Linked DNA regions of Nothobranchius furzeri. The main gene of each other region encodes a partner of the protein of the gene in region 2 in a complex. Links are inferred from orthologs where the notes say so. Each region holds a gene or a part of one and is shown on either strand. Other genes may lie near its edges.

What was found.
Region 1: the proteins of ezh1 (region 2) and eed are in contact, whole or in part, in a cryo-EM structure (PDB 7KTP), measured with the Homo sapiens proteins. The link is inferred for Nothobranchius furzeri from reciprocal best matches to the Homo sapiens genes EZH1 and EED. Residues at the interface, in NP_001982.2 of Homo sapiens: Gly37, Ala38, Lys39, Leu41, Tyr42, Val43, Asn45, Phe46, Lys48, Val49, Gln50, Lys52, Thr53, Gln54, Leu56, Asn57, Glu59, Trp60, Leu63, Arg64, Val65, Gln66, Pro67, Val68, Gln69, Ser70, Met71, Cys83, Thr84, Ile85; in NP_003788.2 of Homo sapiens: Cys84, Val85, Asn86, Ser87, Leu88, Lys89, Glu90, Asp91, Trp103, His104, Ser105, Lys106, Glu107, Val112, Arg120, Leu123, Tyr124, Gln129, Gly130, Glu131, Ile132, Arg133, Leu134, Leu135, Gln136, Ser137, Tyr138, Val139, Asp140, Tyr154.

The regions. Positions count from the first base shown.
Region 1 is NC_091743.1:86,053,770-86,064,589, forward strand, and holds eed (polycomb protein eed), read left to right. Parts: upstream 1-1,013; 5' UTR 1,014-1,082; coding exon 1,083-1,187; intron 1,188-1,688; coding exon 1,689-1,841; intron 1,842-1,939; coding exon 1,940-2,032; intron 2,033-2,349; coding exon 2,350-2,415; intron 2,416-3,542; coding exon 3,543-3,668; intron 3,669-3,744; coding exon 3,745-3,826; intron 3,827-3,969; coding exon 3,970-4,061; intron 4,062-5,379; coding exon 5,380-5,513; intron 5,514-5,600; coding exon 5,601-5,706; intron 5,707-5,783; coding exon 5,784-5,942; intron 5,943-6,019; coding exon 6,020-6,093; intron 6,094-6,717; coding exon 6,718-6,844; 3' UTR 6,845-7,262; downstream 7,263-10,820. Other genes in the region: pwp2h (PWP2 small subunit processome component), read left to right, coding at 27-101, 197-356. UniProt on the Homo sapiens protein: Polycomb group (PcG) protein. Component of the PRC2/EED-EZH2 complex, which methylates 'Lys-9' and 'Lys-27' of histone H3, leading to transcriptional repression of the affected target gene.
Region 2 is NC_091745.1:7,465,262-7,475,832, reverse strand, and holds the end of ezh1 (histone-lysine N-methyltransferase EZH1), read right to left. Parts: intron 8,311-10,571; coding exon 8,219-8,310; intron 5,504-8,218; coding exon 5,475-5,503; intron 5,387-5,474; coding exon 5,261-5,386; intron 4,286-5,260; coding exon 4,107-4,285; intron 4,024-4,106; coding exon 3,928-4,023; intron 3,847-3,927; coding exon 3,765-3,846; intron 3,689-3,764; coding exon 3,608-3,688; intron 3,533-3,607; coding exon 3,448-3,532; coding exon of another isoform or gene 3,444-3,447; exon of another isoform or gene 3,406-3,443; intron 3,303-3,405; coding exon 3,242-3,302; 3' UTR 2,362-3,241; downstream 1-2,361.

The DNA.
Region 1 (10,820 bases), on a different chromosome or scaffold from region 2:
TTAACTGGATCTCTTATGGTCCGCAGGTCTGGCTCGGTTCTGCCCACGCTGCAGGCGCTTCAGAAGAGCATCCAGAGACACTTTGACAACCTGTCAAAGCTGTACGTCTCAACACTGTTGCTCCATTAATCATCATAACTAAAATGAAGCATTAAGTCATTAAATATATATATTTATATATATTTTTTTTCCACAGCTGCAACTTCAACATGTACAACATCCGTTACGCTGTGGCGCTTTCAAAGCAGAAGTGTGTAAAGAGGCCTGCCGAGGAGGAGGAGAAAGAAGAGCAGGATGAAGGGTTGTCGGAGGAGATGAGCGAAGCCTCTTTAGATGACTCAGAGATGATCTTGTAGTCTGATTACTAAAAATGTCTCAGATTGACAGATGTTCAACTGTAAAAGTCCATTTTTCCATACTTTAAATATTAAAATAGCCTGTTTTTATAATAAATTCAGTAAAAGTGTCTTTCTTGTTTTTGGCTTTTTTCTGGTAAATTTATTCATTTGAGAGGCTGCTACGGGTTAATCTTTCAATTTGGCACGCAAAAAATATTTTTGGAGTTATTTCTTACTTATATTAGAAATTTACACTTAAAGACTGAATTGCCATTTGTGGTTAAAACTAGCTTTGCTGGGCAGTATTAAGTCAAAAGAAGTATTTCTAGAAATATAAAAGAACAAATCTAAAATATTATTTTTATTTAATACTAACAAAGGTAAATAGTACGACATTTTCAAGGAAAAAATACATTTTTACAGCTGAAGAATGTGGAAATATTGCCTTGAAATGTCCCAAGTTACTGTGTTAGACATTTAAATGTACAATTTAAGAGCAGAATGTATTCTTTTTAACAAATAGGTTGTTTAGGGAGTTAAAAAAAACACGGGATTTACTATTTTTAAACCGATCTGAATCCTGTCCAAAGTGAAATAAAGCAGAAAACTCAAAAAGTGGAAGCTTCTCCGTCAGTAACTAAACGTGACCAACAGGGGGTGACAGAGCGCCTTCTGAAAGTTCACCTTGCCTTAAATTAGATTGAAGAAGAAGGAACAGCGGGCGGGTTAGCCTTCGGAGCTAAAATGAGAGACAAGAGCCTGTCTGAAGCGGGAAAAGAATTACCGGCCAAAAAACAAAAACTAAGCAGTGACGAGAACAGCAACCCCGATTTGTCAGGAGACGAGAACGTAAGAGCTCTATAAACATTTCTGCAACTACAAGTGAACGTTTTAGCCGGTTAGCTCAGCGCTAAAGCAAGAAGCCGGAAAGCTAAAGAGCTTAGCTAGCTGGCATCTTTGTTCACCTGCAGCTGTGGTTCTGATGGTGGTAATGGCTCTAAATCAGTCTATGTGACCCACAGAAGCATGGGCTTTTATATTTAACCTCAAAAAGCCTGGCTTGTTCGATTTAGCTTCAGCAGGAGTGATTTAGAAGCTTGTATTTATTTACAAATTCCTAAAATAAGTGTTCAAATGCAGTTTATAATGTTTATTTTTCATTTTGAGGAAAGGAAAAACTTGCTGGTAGTCTGTTTTTCATGTTAAAAGTGCTTCAAACATTTGTTTCACTTATTTCTGTCCAAATAAAGCCTAGGTTTACTGGTACTTGTCCAATAAAATGAATGTGGTTAGGTTGGGTGTTTTGTTTTGGACATCTTGTCTTTCAGTAACCGCATCTCTGGTTTACAGGATGATGCGGTCAGTGTTGAAAGTGGGACCAACACTGAGCGTCCAGACACCCCCACCAACACCGCCAATGCCCCAGGCAGGAAGAGCTGGGGCAAGGGCAAGTGGAAGTCCAAGAAGTGCAGATATTCTTTTAAATGTGTTAACAGTTTAAGAGTGAGAATGTCTGCTGTTCTAAATACATTCAAATATCATCATTTACAGAATTTAGTTTACAGGTGAAGTGGGAGTGAAACTTTGTGGATATTTTTCAGGAGGACCATGGCCAGCCACTGTTTGGAGTCCAGTTTAACTGGCACAGTAAGGAAGGAGACCCACTGGTGTTCGCCACAGTCGGGAGTAACAGGGTAACCCCAAGCAGACAGATTTTATTTGGCTTTTTCTGGGTGTTTTCATGAATTTTTCTAGTTCAGAATCAATTTTCTGCTCATCAGTTCCATATCTTGCATGATAGAAAGATGGTGATGCCTTTCAAGCAATCAGACGTCCTTTTGTGTCTGATAAGCTGCTTCAAGTGTCCTTAATTTACTGTTACAGAAAATAAGAGATTTGACAAATTTTAAAGAATGATGATTATTCAGGACTTTTTTCATTAAAAATACACATTTCTTGTTGTGAAAAACATTTAGTTTTACATAAATGATATTTCTGATTTCTCTAACAGGTAACCTTGTATGAATGCCACTCTCAGGGAGAGATCCGACTGTTGCAGTCGTACGTTGATGCAGATGTATCCTTCCTGCTTTGGCTCAAACTAAACTTCACAAAAAGGAATCTGTTGTTCTTTAATTTAGATACAGATCAGTAAATGAAGATTTACAGATATGTTAACCCTTTAAGCGCCAAAGTCGCAGAATTGCGACAAGCAGCAATGTTGGATTTAATAAGCCACAGCAGCAGAAATGAGCCCTCATGCATGGGGAATGTGGTGGCGGTGATCGGGCCGTTGAAAACTCTGCTGGTGATCAATTCAGCCCCTGTCTATCAGCTATCCTCTATTATCTATCTATATCTATCATCTATCTAGCTATCATCTATCTAGCTATATAAATGTGTGTATAATAATAATGATTATGATGACAGTAAAAGATGTGTTCAGCAAAGGAGGTCAAGTTCACCTTATCCAGCTAACAGAGTTCAGATAAACATAACTTCACATGTTTTTGACGCATGACCAAAGCTTTCTTCCTGAGAGAGTGGGTGTGTCCTGTGAGTTTGGTAAAACTAACCATTATAGTAACCATGTGTGTGTGTGTGTGTGTGTATATATATATATAACAATTATAAACCAAATAAACTATAATTAAAGAAGGGATGAGTGAAATGTGTTCATGACACTGAAGCACCAAAAACAGTGTTCTTGATTGATACGCAGTAAACATAACAAAATACCAATAAAGTAATATGTGTATATATATGTATATATATATATATATATACACATACATAGTTATATACATATTCCTATGTACACATATATGTATCATAAACAATAACAACACTAAGAAAATAAGACAAACAAATCCGCAAATGTGATGCAATCCAATATGGCTGCTATCTGATGATGTCATAGTATGAAAATTGTGTGAGTGAATTTGTTCCTATCACAAAATTTGGCTCATACTGAAGATTTTTCTAATTTACAATATTCCTCTATCTCTAACCAGATTTAAGCTACAAGCTCTTTAAGTAGTGATATGAAAAACTTATATTTTACTGAAAAAACTATGGCGCCTAAAGGGTTAATCATCTTTTTCTCAACATCTATTTTGGAAAGACCCAAGAGTTGATCAGTAGCTGCAGAAATGTCAGAAACTTTTTGATTTCTGCGATTTTCTTGACTGAACGCGTTCCAAGGCAGATGAGAACTTCTACACGTGTGCTTGGACCTATGACACCAACACCAGCCACCCGCTGTTGGCTGTAGCCGGGTCCCGCGGCATCATTCGGGTCATCAATCACATCACAATGCAGTGCATCAAGGTAGTCTTCCTGTAGAGAACCTCTTTGAAAATGTGGCTTTGAGGGTCATTTAGTAGTGTGTTTGTTTCCCATCCAGCACTACGTGGGTCACGGGAACGCCATCAACGAGCTCAAGTTTCACCCAAGGGATCCGAATCTTCTCCTGTCTGTCAGCAAAGGTAAAGCCCCTGATGGTGATGGTCATCGACACGCCTCCAGATGCTCCTGGATCTTTTCCCTGACAGATTCAGTGTTTTTAGTAAAAGCTTACTTGTGTGAAAATGAATAAATGATGATTTGTAACATTTGAAATTTTCTTTAGATCACGCTCTTCGTCTGTGGAACATCCAGACGGATACACTGGTGGCCATATTTGGAGGTGTAGAAGGCCATCGAGACGAAGTCCTGAGCGCTGTAGGTGTTTCATTACATTTGATCACAATTTAAACTGTCAGATTTTAATCGGAACAGAAAACACGGTTTGCACTTTTTGTTGATGCTGATTTTGACTTATTTTTATTTTATTTTTTTAAAGTATTTTTGAGGTTTGTTTTATATAAAATGGGTCAGTATTCAGCCTCAGTTCAGAGAAGAGGGTTATTTCCTTTAGGATTGATGAGCTAACGGCTAGGTACACTAACAGTTTTTTTTAATGCGGTGCTTTTCAAAATAAAAGTCAGGCGCACCACAAGAACAATGAAACATTAAAAATTGATCAAACTAGGGCTGCATGATATTAGGAAAACCTGCGATATTCGATAACAGTGATTAATATTGCGATGACGATATTACTTGCGATAAATAAAAACTTAACTCAGGAATAAAAATAATCAAAAACAAAGAAACAAAAAACTGATAAAAATGAGAAAAGCAAAAGATGTGAGGAAAGGGAAAAAGAAAAGGGAATCCGTGGATCCCGGGAAAACCGGAATCAGCAAAAAGAGCAGAGCAAAGCTAAGTCAGGTGTTTGCTAACCAGCACAATTAAGTGCCGTCCGCCTCAGGGGCGGTCATCTGACCTATGAGAACCCACCCGATTGGCCAAATGGGTGCAGAGCTCTATTTGATGTGTTAAAAAAACATCATGCTTCCGTTTGACTGACAGAATAAATTGTGTAGAAAACATTTGAGCTGACCGTTCATTGCGATATTTATCTGTTCTTTGCGATATGCATATTGTGCATCATGATATCGCGATAACGATATATTTACGATATATTGTGCAGCCCTATATTAAACAATAATAAAGATCAAGCTAAAATTGCACTAAACACAAATCACAGCATTATTTCATAAACCTGTAGGCTGTAGTTGGTCTCAGCAGAAATATTACTACATTTCTGCCAGGTTTGACCTGGATTCCAGTCATTATTGTTATGTTTTCTTTTAAAATAAGACTTTCTGTTCAAAGTCGGTCTTAAAATGTCCATTTGAAATGTTTTTGGTGGACTTGCACAGTTTAGATTGTGCATAAATGACCTAAATATTATATGAACAAGATGTTTGCCCTGAAATGTGACGGCTAATGAAGACACCTGGAACCTGATTGATGGAAAAATAAAAAAATCAAGGTGCACTGAAGTGATTGTTAGTGATCCAAGATGGAGATTTTCTTCTGCTGGAGCTGAAAACCGTTTTTGTTAAATAGAGTTTTGTCTTTTGTTCATTTCGTAGGATCTGATGAATTTTACTTCCAGGAATTGTAACAAGAATCTCTTGTTTTCATGCGTCAGGATTTTGATCTGCTGGGTGAGAAGATCATGTCCTGTGGGATGGACCACTCGCTGAAGCTCTGGAGGATCGACTCCGAGCGAATGCAGAAAGCGATTCGCGGCTCATACGAGTACAACCCCTCGAAGACAAACAGGTGAGGGGGCCCTCCTGTGTTGTTGTTGGTGGCGTGTCGTTAAAATAGTCTCGATAATTAATTAAATAAATCAAATCACCTCTTCAGGCCGTTTGTCTCGCAGAAGATTCACTTCCCCGACTTTTCAACGCGAGACATCCACAGGAACTACGTGGACTGTGTTCGGTGGCTGGGAGATCTGATTCTCTCAAAGGCAAGAGGAATTAAGTTTAGTCTGCTGGTAACAGCCGATGTAGACTCCAAACTTGACGCTGGTTTTTCTTTCTGCAGTCCTGTGAAAACGCCATCGTCTGCTGGAAACCAGGGAAGATGGAGGACGACGTCGACCACATCAAACCCAATGAGTCAAACGTGACGATTCTGGGGCGGTTCGACTACAGCCAGTGTGACATTTGGTACATGAGGTTCTCCATGGACTTCTGGCAGAAGGTGGAGGAGCTTTTCGTCTGTTGGTGCGTCGGTATTAGTGGAGGATGTGTTTACTGGATGAGCGTGTGATCACACAGATGCTGGCTCTGGGGAACCAGGTGGGGAAGCTTTACGTTTGGGACCTGGAGGTGGAAGATCCTCACAAAGCAAAGTAAGTCTCCTTTTATCAGACGCGTTCCTCCGTTCACTCACGCTAAGGAGATTTACTTACACGCTGGTGTTTGATTTTGGATGAGTTAAGAGATGTTTTTCAGCTTTGAGAGTAACAGGAAGTTGGAGGTGTGACTGGTCTGGAGGCTTAAACGTGTCAAAAATTTTAAATGAAGTCTTTAAAACTAATTATCCAAAGTTCTTCAAACATTTCAGAGTTTCATTGATAATATAAAGTTTTAGTGACCCAATAATAAAGCAACACACCATCAAAAAGATCATCTGATGCTTGACGAGGACGGTTATTACTGGCGGACACCATGCTGATTCATGCGATGGAGGAAAGAGAATTAGGTCATCACAACTGGAACGTCAGCGACCTGAGATGATCAGTCTTTCATTCTAAATGGAATCTCCTTTTTCTGACCGGTTCTTCTAAAATAAATACGCTGTTGGAGTTGAGATATCTCAGCTGACGACAGCTGGGACCTGGATCGAGAACAGACCAACAGTTTAGGGTTATTAAAGGACATGGCTGCTTTTAAGAAGAGTCACAAACGTCCTGGAATCTCATACATGTAGAGATATGTATGTTCATGGAACCATCTGGTTTGTTGCTCTTCAGGTGCACCACGCTGACCTTCCCTAAATGCACCTCAGCCATCAGACAGACCAGCTTCAGCCGCGACAGCAGCATCCTCATCGCCGTGTGCGACGATGCATCCATCTGGCGTTGGGACCGGCAGCGCTGAGGATAGTGAACCAAGAGAAACGTGTTTCCTGTTGCTCCTGTTCCCTGACACATTGCAGGAAAAAAAAAACATTTGTCTTTTCTGTAAAAGATGCACCAAAGAAAGATTTTATCCAACAACAATGGATGTTTTAAAATAAAAAATACAATTATTGGTAATTTCCTTTGTGTGCCTTTTATAATTTATTTACAGGAAATAAAATAAGTCGAGGAACACAATTTGAATTCAAGTTTCTCAAAGAGGCAAAGCTATCAATTTTTTTTCTTGCACTGTGTCAAGCTTCATATTTTTACGTTTTTTCTTGTCTGTTTTACCGTCTCGTCTGCTTTTATTTTCCACACAAAACATAACTGCTTACATTTAGTGTTTTTGGCATCTTCCTTCTATGAGTTGTCAATAAAAGTTTTTTGTAAATGTGTAGGATTCAATTTTTATGGAAGCTCATTTTTACCACTTAGAAGAAAAAAGTCAATATCTCAAAGATCTGTTTAAATTAAAAATGTGTAGTGGGATAACGTGTAATTTTTGGATGCACAGGACCAGTTCGTGTGGGCCAGATGCTGAAAAATAAATTCATAAATCTGTCTTTTTAACTTTCACAAATAAGAGAAAGGTTTCACAAATCAAGCTATTTTTATGCATTCTGCTACAAGCCTAGAATAATCTAGAACAGGTTTGAAGAGTGTACGTGTTGTAGTATTTGAGCTAGAGCAGATTAAAAATGGTCAGAATAGAGAAAAATTGTGTGTATTAGCCATTTCCCGAATCGGAAGCTATCTAGCTTGTATGAAAACTAGTGATTGAAACCACTTACAAATTTCTGAAAATCTACGTTTTTTTAATTAAGAAAAAAGGGTATTAACGTTTCAGTCAAGTCAGTATTAGAATCGTGGTCTTTATACATGGACGTAATTTTCACTTTAGAAGTGTGTGTGTGTGTGTGTGTGTGTGTGTGGGGGGGGGGGGGTGTATCTTTACAGTATGTTCTAATAGGAAACAGGCTTCAACACAAATGGTTGTTTTCTGCTTGGTCCTAGAGCTCAACCAGTGTCAATTAAATATAGCGTAATATTGTTTTTGGATGGTGGAAAGTGCAGGGGTCAAAGCTTGACTTTGGAAAAAGTGGGGGGGACATGCCCACCCCCCCACCCCCCAAATTTACGTCCATGTCTTTATATCACATCTAAATTATGTATAAAGTTAATATTATTACTTTAACTGTTTTAACAAACGGAGACCAGAAAAATCAAATAGCTAAGTTAAAGCTAAGCTACAATTGCTGACTGCTTTATATATGTAGCTTTTGTGTTAGCTTGTGAACTCCCTGCATTAGTTTTAAGACTGCATGTTAATATTGATACAATTACAATTCTCTGGTGAAGCTTTAAATGCTATAGTGCCTACTTTTAAGAACTAAACGGTTACAACAATTAGTTAATTTCATCCTTACCTTTCCTCTTTGAAACTCGCCGAGTTTTGTTGAAACAAAAGCGGCCACCAAAAAAGACCAACTTCCGGCCGAGGTCTTTCGCTCGTCGATTTTCCGGTAAAAGTAATGACACGCCATCTTGTTCTCGCTAGAAAGTTCTTCCGGTGACACGCCGTCTGATGTCTGCAGCCAGGTTCTACTCATTTCTTTTGCACCCAGCTGCGAGTTAGAACCATCCACTCTCAAAAAATGTGTCCTAACCCTTACCCCAACCCTTATCCTAACCGTAACTCTGAATAAACATAAAAACTGTGCTACACATATTTTCAAAAACTATATTTATGCAAAACATACATTTCTGGTGCCGGGGTTAGGGTAAGGGTGAGGGTTATTTTTGTGATTGGGTCGTTTCCACTTGCTGCTGGGTGCAAAAGAAACAGATCTCGAGGGGTGAACACATCGACATTACACCGGCACCTCACGCGACCAACGTGTGCGCAGGGTTCAAATTACGAGTGAGCTGAAGGGAGCCTGGCTGACCCATAAAGGGTGACAGGCTCCCCCATAGATATGTATATAAACACGTGTTTATACACATATCTATGGGCTCCCCTGGAAGCCATCGACTTACACACCCAGGGGGAGCCTGAAAAATATCCTGGTTCTACTTATATTACATTATTTATGCAGACTCTCCGGGGATTATTTTGAGCTGAGAGGCGCAGAGCCGGCGCACTGCGCGCACTCTGCTATTTTTATGGTTGGTAGATCGCTGAGGTGAAAACATGAAGCCAGGTAGCAGTTTTTCTTTGGGATTGAGAGGAGATGCAGGAAGATGATAGACAGGACAGAAAAATAGTCAAATAAAAAACAAAACAGTGTTTGAAAAGGTTCATTTAGGTAGATTTATCCCACTACACGTTTTTACTTTCTAAGGCAATAATTTATAAGTACGTAATACCCTACCCTCGTAAGACCATTAGGCATTTCGAGGGCCATGGCAAGAATAAAGCCACTTTCAGTGCGTCTTTGTGAAATATTGGTTTAATTTTTTTCTCTCGGATGGTCCTGCTGAGAGACAGCTGCTTTCTTTTTTCTTAATCCGGTGGACGTTCAGTGTTTTGCTGAGACAGCTTATGTGCTGCCGTTTTGGGCGCTATTTGTACCTGGTGTTTGCAACAAACAGACACCACCGAGGGTGGTCATTACACAGAGTGAGGATGTCATGACTCCCAATCTTTCAGCCTTCATGCAGCACACCTGGTCCCCTCATCAAGCTCCAGCCAAGCCCTGTTTCCCTAGCAACCTCAGCCTGCACCTCATCTACTCCATTCATCTCACCTGTTCCTCCTGCTTTATAAGAACCATCCAGCTATCCAGTCACTGCCAGATTATTGAACGCCATTTGCTAGTAAATCTTCCAGCCATTCACCCTGCCTCGTCTCAGTCTCCGGACCTCGTTTTCTCGCCTGACCCCTGCCTTGTACTCTGCCTCCCATCACGACCCTCACCTGTCCTCTACCTCGTCTCCAGCCTGTTCCCTGTACCTGCTTGTCCGATCTGGTTTTGCACCTCACCTCCTCTCCGACTCTGTCTCCTGCCTCGCCCTCTACGGTAACGCCATATCTAATAAAGACTTGTAAGGAACTTTACTGTGTTTGGCGTCACTACTGGTCTTCTGAGTTCTGTTCGTGACAGAGGAACAGAAAATTAAATTATTCTTTCAATGTTTAGAGCACCAGGGAACTCAGAGGCTGCATGCACACTAGGGAGTTTGCGGCCACTGCGACACACTCCACACCACGGCAGCGCCTAGAAATTCTGTCCATAAAGGTAATGAACAGAACCGGTGACAAAGGGCAGCCCTGGCGGAGTCCAACCCTCACCGGGAACAGGTCCGACTTACTACCGGCTATGCGGACCAAACTCACGCTCCTCTGGTAAAGGGACTGAATGGCCCTTAACAGAAAGCCACCCACCCCATACTCCTGGAGTGTCCCCCACAGGGTGCCCCTGGGGATACGGTCATAAGCCTTCTCCAAATCCACAAAACACATGTGGAATGGTTGGGCAAACTCCCATGCCCCCTCCATCGCCCTTGCAAGGGTATAGAGCTGGTCCACAGTTCCACGGCCAGGACGAAAACCACATTGTTCCTCCTCAATCAGAGATTCAACTATCGATCGGACCCTCCTCTCCAGTACCTTGGAGTAGACCTTTCCAGGGAGGCTGAGGAGTGTGATCCCCCTATAGTTGGAACACACCCTCAGGTCACCCTTCTTAAAGATGGGGACCACCACCCCGGTCTGCCACTCCACAGGAACTTCCCCCGATGACCACGCAATGTTGCAGAGACGTGTCAACCATGACAGCCCTACAACATCCATAGCCTTGAGATACCCAGGACGAATCTCATCTGCCCCCGGGGCTCCGCCGCTGTGTAGTTGTTTGACTACCTCAGCAACTTCTGCCTCCGGATTGGACAGTCCATCCCCAGGTCTCCCAGCTCTGGTTCCTCCTCGGAATGTGCATAGGTGGGATTGAGGA
Region 2 (10,571 bases):
GGCCATATGGAAAGCAAACATATGAACACACACACAACAAGAACAACATTTGTACAGTGGACCACAATAATGTAAATTCTTACTTCTGACACTGCTAGAATAATGTTGCTCAACACTGCAGCTGACCACATTATCATTGCTGCTGCTGCTGCTTGGTGAGCTAGCTGCTTACAGAGAAAAAATAATATTAAACACATTGTATAAGATTTCTGTCACTGGTGACACAAAATGTCCTTTAGTGTGTGTAGCAACCAAAGCCTCGAGCTATCAATCGCTGCAGCTCTACTTAACACTAAAGACCTGTTGTGTGTGTGTGTGTGTGTGTGTGTGTGTGTGTGTGTGTGTGTGTGTGTGTGTGTGAGACAAACTGCTGACGAAGAAATACATTTGCGACATGTTAGCTATGCATACGTAGAGCATGACCGCACTTAGCAGAAACATGCAATAAGCTTTAATGAGCTTCTTCCAGTCACTAACTGTGAATGTCTCTCTCTTCATTTGCATACAGGAGGTGATACCGTGAATAACGTGTTGAAAGACTTTTGATGTTTAGGGTTTTTACACTTGCTTTGAATGTAAACTCTGACTCCGTCTGAGCAGACCTGCCGATGTTTTTGTTCTCGATGAAAGAAAAGCTTTTTAGATCGCTCAGGTTAAAGGAAGCGCAGCACCTGCTCTCTGTAGACCTAACCACCTCCAGAACATGGTTGGTTTCCCTCCATTACAGATGGGCAGGACTGTGTAAAATGGTTCAGTGAGAGGATGTACAGAAACTGTAAAAACACAAAGTTGCTAATAATGTATGAACCTGTAGAGATTTCAAAACTTGCATTTTCAGGACATATTTTTGGAAATGTGATGAATGAAAGTCTAATATGGAGCAAACAGAAAGAAATCACTGTTTTGTGTGTATAGCACAGAATGTTCTATGTTTTCAAAAAAATTCAACAAACTTGATTTGCTGCCACTTAGCAAAGAAAATCACGTGCTTATGATATGAACTCATCTCACTGGATCTTTCTTATGATTTTTCAGCACAGCAGTGTCCCATTATTTATGCCTCTCATGATAATTGTGGTCCCTGGAGTTTGTGTGACTGGACTTCCCAATGTTTGTGTGTTTTATTGTTTCCTCATCAACATGCAACCATAAGATGTTAAAAGTGCAGTTGAGGCCAGTTCTTCAGTGGTATTGTGGTGCACCGACACTAGTAGAGTGAGACGTGGCTAGCCAGCAAGAAGTTTGCTCTGACAGGGTGTCTGCTACTTGAGGCTTCCTGCACTTACGTTTAACTGAACAACATACAGTATGTGTAAGATTAAACACAAAACTTTCATTATACTTTGGGCTTATTTGTTCTGTTTTACAAATATTAAAGTAGTAAACAATAAGTGAACTTTTACTCTTTCAGCATTGACAGAGGTCATAGGTCACCAGAGGGAGCAGCAGAATTAGTCTCAGCATCACCAGACAATACAAGCAAGCAGAGTTTTGTTTCTGAACATATTCAGATCTTATTTTTCTGTCGGTTTTGTAATAATTTCACTGTAAATGACCATTACTGTGTAAATCAACTCAAATCTAAACCGTCATCTGAATTAAAAGACGCTTGAAGGAAGCAGGTGTTGTGTTTGGAGGTGATGTACTGGTTCCGCAGTTGGGGTCGTAAGGCAAGTTTGAGGTAAAATAACCAGAAATAAACTTAAGATTATAGTGTGTTTTCACTATAATTTATGTACAGGGTATCTGCAGGTTTAAGGGAGCCAAATTTAAGACTTTTAAGACCTTTTTAAGGCCACTTTGACGAAATGTAAGCAATTTTTTAAAATTTCATTTAAGCTATAATTTCCAGCTAATGCCTGGAACAGGTGCTAACCATGTTGCAAATGTGGGATTAGCCATCCAGTTACCATTAAACTTGCACTTCCCCATGATGCAAGCTCCCACTAGCTTAACCAGCTAATGTGCTCATCTAAAAACAGCCCCCTTTCACAATCAACTGAATGTGTACAGTTCCGCTTACGCCAACATCATACACAAAAAATGCTGAACACTAACTAGAAATTCACAAAAATTTTATAGAAATAAAAATATCTTGTTTATTGGGTCTTTGGTAATTTAAGATCTTTGGAAACCGTATTTAAGGATTATTTGTAATTTTTAAGGATTTTTAAGGCCTTAAATTTGGAAAAGCAAATTTAAGACTTTTTAAGACTTTTTAAGGACCGGCGGATACCCTGTATGTAACAGCCTAAGATAATCTCCATAAATAGCAGTAAATACTTCAGGAGTATGCATGGATGTAAAGACTATCCTCACGCTTTGGCTCCATCCAGCACATAAGAACACAGACAGCATTAATATCATATAAAGTTAAACCTTTATTTTTATGAGCATACACTGTACACAGCAATAAACTTCATTGTGTTCAGCTCCATGAGAACTTTTATTTTGAAGGTAGTGAGCCATTTGTTTTATAACTGAACAACAGTGTGGACAATAATGTGGGTCTGAAATTATAGACATGATAAATGAATGTTTCACATGATGCGACGCCCATATTTGGTCAAACACTCATAATCATACATCACTATTGTTATAACCTTGACATGGAAACCAAGCTACATTTCACATGCAAGTTTATTTAGCATATACGTGAGGAATTATTTGGCACTTTTTAATTCGATTTTAAAGGAAGACAATTAATCTGAGACTAATTTATTTACCATTAATTTGCCTGGTAATGTGTGATAATATTCACATGATGCTAAATATTTCAGATATACACATTTCTTTAAGTACCAATAATGTAAAAAAAAAAAACAAAAAAAAAAACAATGAGTCATCAACACGTTACATTCAGTCAGTCGGTTTCTCATCGGGTTACCTGTAATTTTTTGATAATTTTTGCAAAACGCTGACGTAAATGCACATTTTTTTTAAACCCACATAGATGTGGTTGTGATGCTAGCTGCTGTACATATTCATTGAGAAACAAACCAAGCTGTCAAACCTGGACACGCTTTTTTCTGAAGACCAATCAGGGTGCAACATCATCTAGAATGCCGGGTGCATGAGAGGAGCGTCTGACTGAAGCTACTGCGGCAGCTAACGCATGAAACTGATATCCGTGTCCAAAGACAGCATATGCATTTCACTGATCAGCATGATGAATGCAGTAAAAGCTTGCATAATGACAGAGATGAGGAACAAAAGCCAGGTTGTAAGTACAGCAGCAAAGCTAAGACAAGTCCACCTCCCTCTCGATTCCGACGTACTTGAGGGCATCGGCTTGGCTGTATCTGTGGGGGAGGAACATTAAGGAGAAAATTAGTAAAATACACAACTAAAAGCCACTAAATAAACAATATGTAGTGGCTTTGTTTTCCTTTTTTTAAAATTTACTTGTAAGCTGATGGAGAGTCACAAAAAGGCCCGTGACTCTACCTGTAGTCAAAGAAGAGCTCTTCTCCTTGCAGGATAGCTCGTTTGGCGAATATTCCAATCCGGTGGTCTCCGTTAACCATCACGACTGGGACAGTAATAAACAAAACATCAGCTCACACAACTCTTTGGAAAACGCTGAATCCAAATCAAACCAAGTCACCTTTAGCGTAGCAGTTGGGATTCACAGAATGGTTCGCAAAACGGATTTTGTTACCCTTTCGAGTGGCGTCCACAACAAAATCTAAAGGGACACAACGGGATTCTGTCAACACGCTGAACCTGTTTGCCTGTGGAAAGCTATAGAAACACAAACTTACCATTGTTTAAGTTGAAAAGGAAGCTGGACATGTATTTGTCGTAGATCCTTCCACGTCGGTCTGCTTCATCCTGAGAGATCAGCTGCTCAGAAAAAAAAGAAGAGAAGAATTAACTTTGCACAAGCTCTGTGACCCATTTGAATAAAGGTCAAAGTGAACATGCCTCTCCACAGTATTCAGAGATGAATTCATTCTTCTGAACAGGCTCTTTGATGAATGTTCCCCACCCTGCTACATCTGATGGAGCCAGCAACAAGTGCTAGAAGATAAATCAGATTGTTTCCCACCAGCTCCCACCTTCCACACTCTCACCATATCAGATCGAGGAATGTTCAGACTAACCTTTTTTAGGCCTCTCTGGATGCTGCAGTTCTTACAGGAAACCACTTTGCTGTCCCAGTGGTCTGCAGCTCCGCAGGTCATGCACAGGTCGGGGTCGCACTCTCTCACGGCCAGGTAGCACGGACACTGCTTTGTGTTGCACTGAGTCTTGCATCTGCAGCCTGGGAAGCGGTTCTGGCCTGAAAACCAGTTCACAGACAGGAAGTACAAAGTTTAAATGTACACTGTAAAATAAAACATAACAGCTGGAACGTCTGAATCTAGCAGCTGCAGCATGTGAGCGACGGTAAGTGGGTGGGCTACGCTGATGGACTCATCAGTCATGAGACCTCTGCTGGCAGATATGCCCAAATGCAATTTTGAAAACTGTAACATAACACCCTCTGGGCAGATGAAGCCAAAGCTTAAGCAAAAGTGATCCGAAATCTCTTCCCAGAAGCTTCTACGTAAAAGGAAATTGTCCATAACAAGAAGTCCAGACAGCTCCGTGGTTCCTTTAAATCCCAACTCCTCCTAGCCTCTGTGGGTTTCGTGTCTGTCTTGTCGAGCTTTGTTCCGCTGGAGCAGTTTGACTCATACTGATGATGCTGCATTTCTGCCACAGAGCTTGTGACATCTCTTTGATTTCTCTCCAAGCCTTTAAAGCGCACACATGTGGAAATGAGCACAGCTTCCTGTTTGGCCCGGGCGCTCCTCTGCTACGGGAAAAGGTGTGGTAATAATGAGGAGATGGAGGAGGGGAGTAGGTGACCGAACCACAACATGAAGAAAATTTGAGCCTAAAACCTTCTTTCAGCCACATGTTTACTTCATGTTCTGCTTTGTCTGGACTGATATCTTTCCAGAGAGCTAAATAAAAAAACAACAAGTTCCTTCCACCATGTGGCCATTTCAGAAAACACTATTTTGCCGCAGAAGATGTGTCTCGTTTCAGGTGCAGCTCTGTGATAAACACCTATGCCCACGAGATGACAGCTTCTATTCTGCTGCAGAAACACATTCCAGCCTGCAGCTCTGATCCACGCCGACCCAGTAAAGAGGTCTTTTAAACGGCTTTCAGGGAATAAAATAAATGTCACAACGACCCAGAAAGAAAACAGTTGATGTGAGACAACCTGATTTCACAAGGAGCTGGAGAGAAAGGTGACACTCACACTCGTGCTCACACTGACAGAACTTCTCACAAAAATTCTGGGTCATCACACACGGGCAGGAGCTGTCACACGGGTGGTCAGGGTGGTCACATGGCTGATAGTTGTACACCTGATTGGACGAGTTATCTGGAGCAACAAAGGACAAAACCCCCCAAAACAAGACTGTGAGCTGTAATGTGTGTGCCAGTTGGCAGCTGTGATTTTTGTATAATACCTTTTTTTAGCTGGATCTTTGCCCACAATCTGAAACGGTAAACAAGGAAAAATACACATGTTTACTTAATTAGAGCCTCTCCAGATGTCTGCAGAGATGCTAAATTCTTGTCAATTATTAGGAAACAGTTCTACAAGAAACAAAAACAAAACAAAACAAACTATATATATATATATATATATATATATATATATATATATATATATGTATATATATATATATATATATATATATATATATATATATATAAAGGTCCTTCAAAAAAACAGCATATTGTGATAAAGTTCATTATTTTCTGTAATGTACTGATAAACATTAGATTTTCATATATTTCAAGCCTTTTATTGTTTCTAATATTGATGATTTTGGCATACTGCTCATGAAAACCCAAAATTCCTATCTCAAAAAATTGGCATATCATGAAAAGGTTCTCTAAACGAGCTATTAACATAATCATCTGAATCAACTAATTAACTCTAAACACCTGCAAAAGATTCCCGAGGCTTTTAAAAACTCCCAGCCTGGTTCATTACTCAAAACCGCAATTATGGGTAAGACTGCCGACCTGACTGCTGTCCAGAAGGGCATCATTGACACCCTCAAGCAAGAGGGTAAGGCCCTGTCCACACGTAGCCGGGGATCTGCCAAAACGTAGATATTTTTCTACGTTTTGGCCTGTCATCCACATGAAAACGGAGTTTTTTCACACAAAAACGGATCTTTTTAAAAACTCCGGCCAAAGTGAAGATCTGCGTTTTCTCCGTTTTGGGTGTCTGCGTGTGGACAAACAAAACCGGAGTTGTAAGGTCCGCAACGTCACTTTCCGCGACAAAAAAATGCTGACATCACGTGTGCGACCTGTGTTTACACTAGCCGACAGCATGGATGCCCTCAGAGCTACGCTCGCTTTATCAATTGTCCAAGCGCTTTTTGCTTGTTTGTTTTTGCAAGTGGAATTACTGCTCCTTGCGGAAGACCACAGACGAAGGACGAGGTTAAGAACGGGGGAAGTACTGCCGCCTACAGGTCTGGCATGTCCTTAACAACGTATTTATCCGGGTACGTGTGGACAGTTTTTTTTTTAAACGAGGTGGTGTGGATGCAAGTTTTTGGAGGGGCTGATATTCGTTTTTAAAAAAACCCAGCTACGTGTGGACTAGGCCAAAGACACAGAAAGAAATTTCTGAATAAATAGGCTGTTCCCAGAGTGCTGTATCAAGGCACCTCAGTGGGAAGTCTGTGGGAAGGAAAAAGAGTGGCAGAAAACGCTGCACAACGAGAAGAGGTGGGCCTGTGGAAGCAGTGGATTGAGTCTGGAGTAGAAACATCCAGAGCCACCGTGTACAGGCGTGTGCAGGAAATGGGCTACAGGTGCTGCATTCCCCAGGTCAAGCCACTTTTGAACCAGAAACAGCGGCAGAAGTGCCTGACCTGGGCTACAGAGAAGCAGCACTGGACTGTTGCTCAGTGGTCCAAAGTACTTTTTTCAGATGAAAGCAAATTTTGCATGTCATTCGGAAATCAAGGTGCCAGAGTCTGGAGGAAGACTGGGCAGAGGGAAATGCCAAAATGCCTGAAGTCCAGTGTCAAGTACCCACAGTCAGTGATGGTCTGGGTGCCATGTCAGCTGCTGGTGTTGGTCCACTGTGTTTTATCAAGGGCAGGGCCAATGCAGCTAGCTATCAGGAGATTTTGAAGCACTTCATGCTTCCATCTGCTGAAAAGCTTTATGGAGATGAAGATTTCACTTTTCAGCACGACCTGGCACCTGCTCACAGTGCCAAAACCACTGGTAAATGGTTTATTTACCATGGTATTACTGTGCTCAGTTGGCCTGCCAACTCTCCTGACCTGAACCCCATGGAGAATCTGTGGGATATTGTGAAGAGAAAGTTGAGAGACGCAAGACCCAACACTCTGGATGAGCTTAAGGCCGCTATCGAAGCATCCTGGGCCTCCATAACACCTCAGCAGAGCCACAGGCTGATTGCCTCCATGCCACGCCGCATTGAAGCAGTCACTTCTGCAAAAGGATTCCTGACCAAGTATTGAGTGCATAACTGAACATAATTATTAGAAGGTCGACTTTTATGTATTAAAAACACTTTTCTTTTATTGGTCAGATGAAATATGCTAATTTTTTGAGATAGGAATTTTGGGTTTTTATGAGCTGTACGCCAAAATCATCAATATTAGAAACAATAAAAGGCTTGAACTACTTCAGCTGTGTGTAATGAATCTAATATATATGAAAGTCTAATGTTTATCAGTACATTACAGAAAATACTGAACTTTATCACAATATGCAAAAAATTTTTGAAGGACCTATATATATATATATATATATATATATATATATATATATATATATATATATATATATATATATATATATATATATATATATCAAACAGCCTAGCCTCATCCACTGAAGAGAGCTAGCTTATATTTTTGATTTGTTGACAAATGACAGTTTTTAAATTTTTGGTTAAATGATGTGTATGATCTCTGGAGCAGAGTAACCCAGGTCAGATTATATCACACAAATAATCCAACAGCCTGTTTGGTGTTTACTAAGCCCACTTGGCTGGAATGGAAATTCAAGTTGGCTCCAAAGGTCAGTGAGTAGTGGATGAGCATCAAATGACTCCAGGCTGGGATCTGTCCAGTGGTTCACTCACAAGCTCAAGCAAACACATCGTTTCTACCGTTTCCATGCTGGGTGATAAAAGTCAGGATCTTGCCTGTGTTTTCTTTTCTTCTTTTGTGGCGAGATGCCTCCATCTTCCAAAGGGACGCGATGAATCAGAACCTCTTTTACAGCAAACTCGTACACCTGAGAGAGACATTACAAAAAAACATTGTTCAACTAACCGGTTGTGTAAAGCAACAACAAGGGGGCCACTGTTGCAGTTATGTTGTGCAATATCATGCAAGCTGCTATAAAAAAGTCTTCCCAAACATCCTGCCCCAGTCTATCTCCTGTCCAAGCTATGGTGAGGAAGCCAGACACAAGAGTGCATCTGTGTGGAGGGACACACACACACACACACACACACACACACACACACACACACGCGCGCGCACACACACACCCACACACACGCACACACACACACACACACACACACACACACACACATTCTTCTGGGACTGTTAAGGCCAGATGTTAACAACTGTGAATTTGGACAGTCTAGCCTTTAATAATAGGCCCACCCCTGTTCTGAGCACTCTTTGAATTTTGACAGTCTTTGTCGCGGCGCTGTGACGTCACTGGTCTTAAATTATGACCTCATGAGCACGCGACCCCTGAATTTGGACACAGCCATAGACTGCAGTTGCAAAAGAGACAATGAGTAGTTTTTACCATGAATCTCTGGAAATATCCATCAAAATGTTGTTGAAAAGAAATTAATGTATGCAGATTTGTTGAAAAATATTGGAAGCTTTGTAACATAAACCCAATAAAAAATCGGGTCTAAAATAAACAGGTCTAAGTCATTGGGCGACGTCCTATTAGATGTCATGTTTCTTCCTATGGGAGCCCGTGAGGACAAAATGCAGTTACTGATTTGTAAGAAACAGTTGGAAAACCTTTACCATTCGTAAATGTTGTTGTTTTACACATTTACCTCTTCGCTCTTTCCCTGTGATGAAAGGCAGTCTGGTGTGCTTGTCATTTTGCTGGAGGTTGCACTCCCAGGGATTTTGACCCTAATGGCCATCCGTTGGTAAAGTCTTACTCAAATACAAAAATACCTCTTGCCAGGGAAAATACACATTGTCCCTTTAATATTTGGTAGAACGGCGTATGCTTGTGCACTTATTTGTATAATATTATAAATGAATTTATCTGTACATTTGATAACTGAGTTTATCTGAAAAGCTGCTGATTTGGAGCGGGAAAATTAATGATCGGTTTGGAATTGGAACTGTTCATTTGAATACCTAAAATGGGACCAAGGAGGGACATCTTCTTCCAAAACACCACACCAGAAACTGTTTTCACCAGCTGCCTCTGCTGGACTGACACCAAACGGGGACTTTCTGAACACTTGCATCATGAGTAAATATGAGAAATGTAGCATCTGGTAAGACTCCCTGTTTACGGTGCCACATGCCAGACTCTCTCGGTCCAGACACACGTTCATTATCTACGTCATAAAACCACAAGCCCAACACGCATCTGTTGTTACACTAGCCCTGAATGACACAAACCCAGCAGAGAACATTTGCACAATCATGCCTCCTGCGTTGATTCAAAACAACTATGATTCAGTTTAAGAGCATCATACGTAGTTTAGGGATTAAAAGTGAAGAAATGAACTAACTGTTTGCAGACAAACAGGCTCGTCTCAGCCACAAAGATGGAAACAAGGATGTCTTCAGATACAGATCACAGGATGGGGACGGCTCTTGGCTACTTACGCACCAACTTTCAGCTGAATAGCTGTAAAAAATGACTGACTTAAGCCGTTTTTCTTAATGTTTATGTTGATAATCTGTGGCAGCAATACATAATTGGGTACACTCTAGAAGAAACACATCTAATTATTACATTCTGAGACTTTCATACAAATCTGTTAAGTGGTTTTTAGGGTAGTTTGTTGACAAGCGTTCTAAAAAGAATCTTTCCCATGATAAATTAGTTTTTTTAGTAATATATAGCAATATGTAAAACCACTTCTCTCGAAATAGTGCTTAGTATGGGTAGACTGGTCGGCCAGTACATCGGGCCGATATTTAACATTTATATATCGGCATTGGCTGATGTGAATCCTTAGTAAAGCGATTTAGAGTCAGGCACATCCCCGGGCAGCCTGGAGCTGTTTCAGAATCTTATTTAAATGAATATTTACATTCCTCAATAACAACTGAATTATAAATGCTCTAAAGCTATTTTCAACTAAAATTAACCAGTTTTGAATATTTAATACTTGGTCAGTTTATTGATTTGTTTGATTAACTTTATTAAGATGTCTGATTTTAACACTGAACAGTGCGCAAAATTAAGATTTGACAATTGGATAAATTGAAAGCATACAAACTATTTCAGCTTCAGAAATTTTGTGCACCAACTGATGTTATCAGGGATAT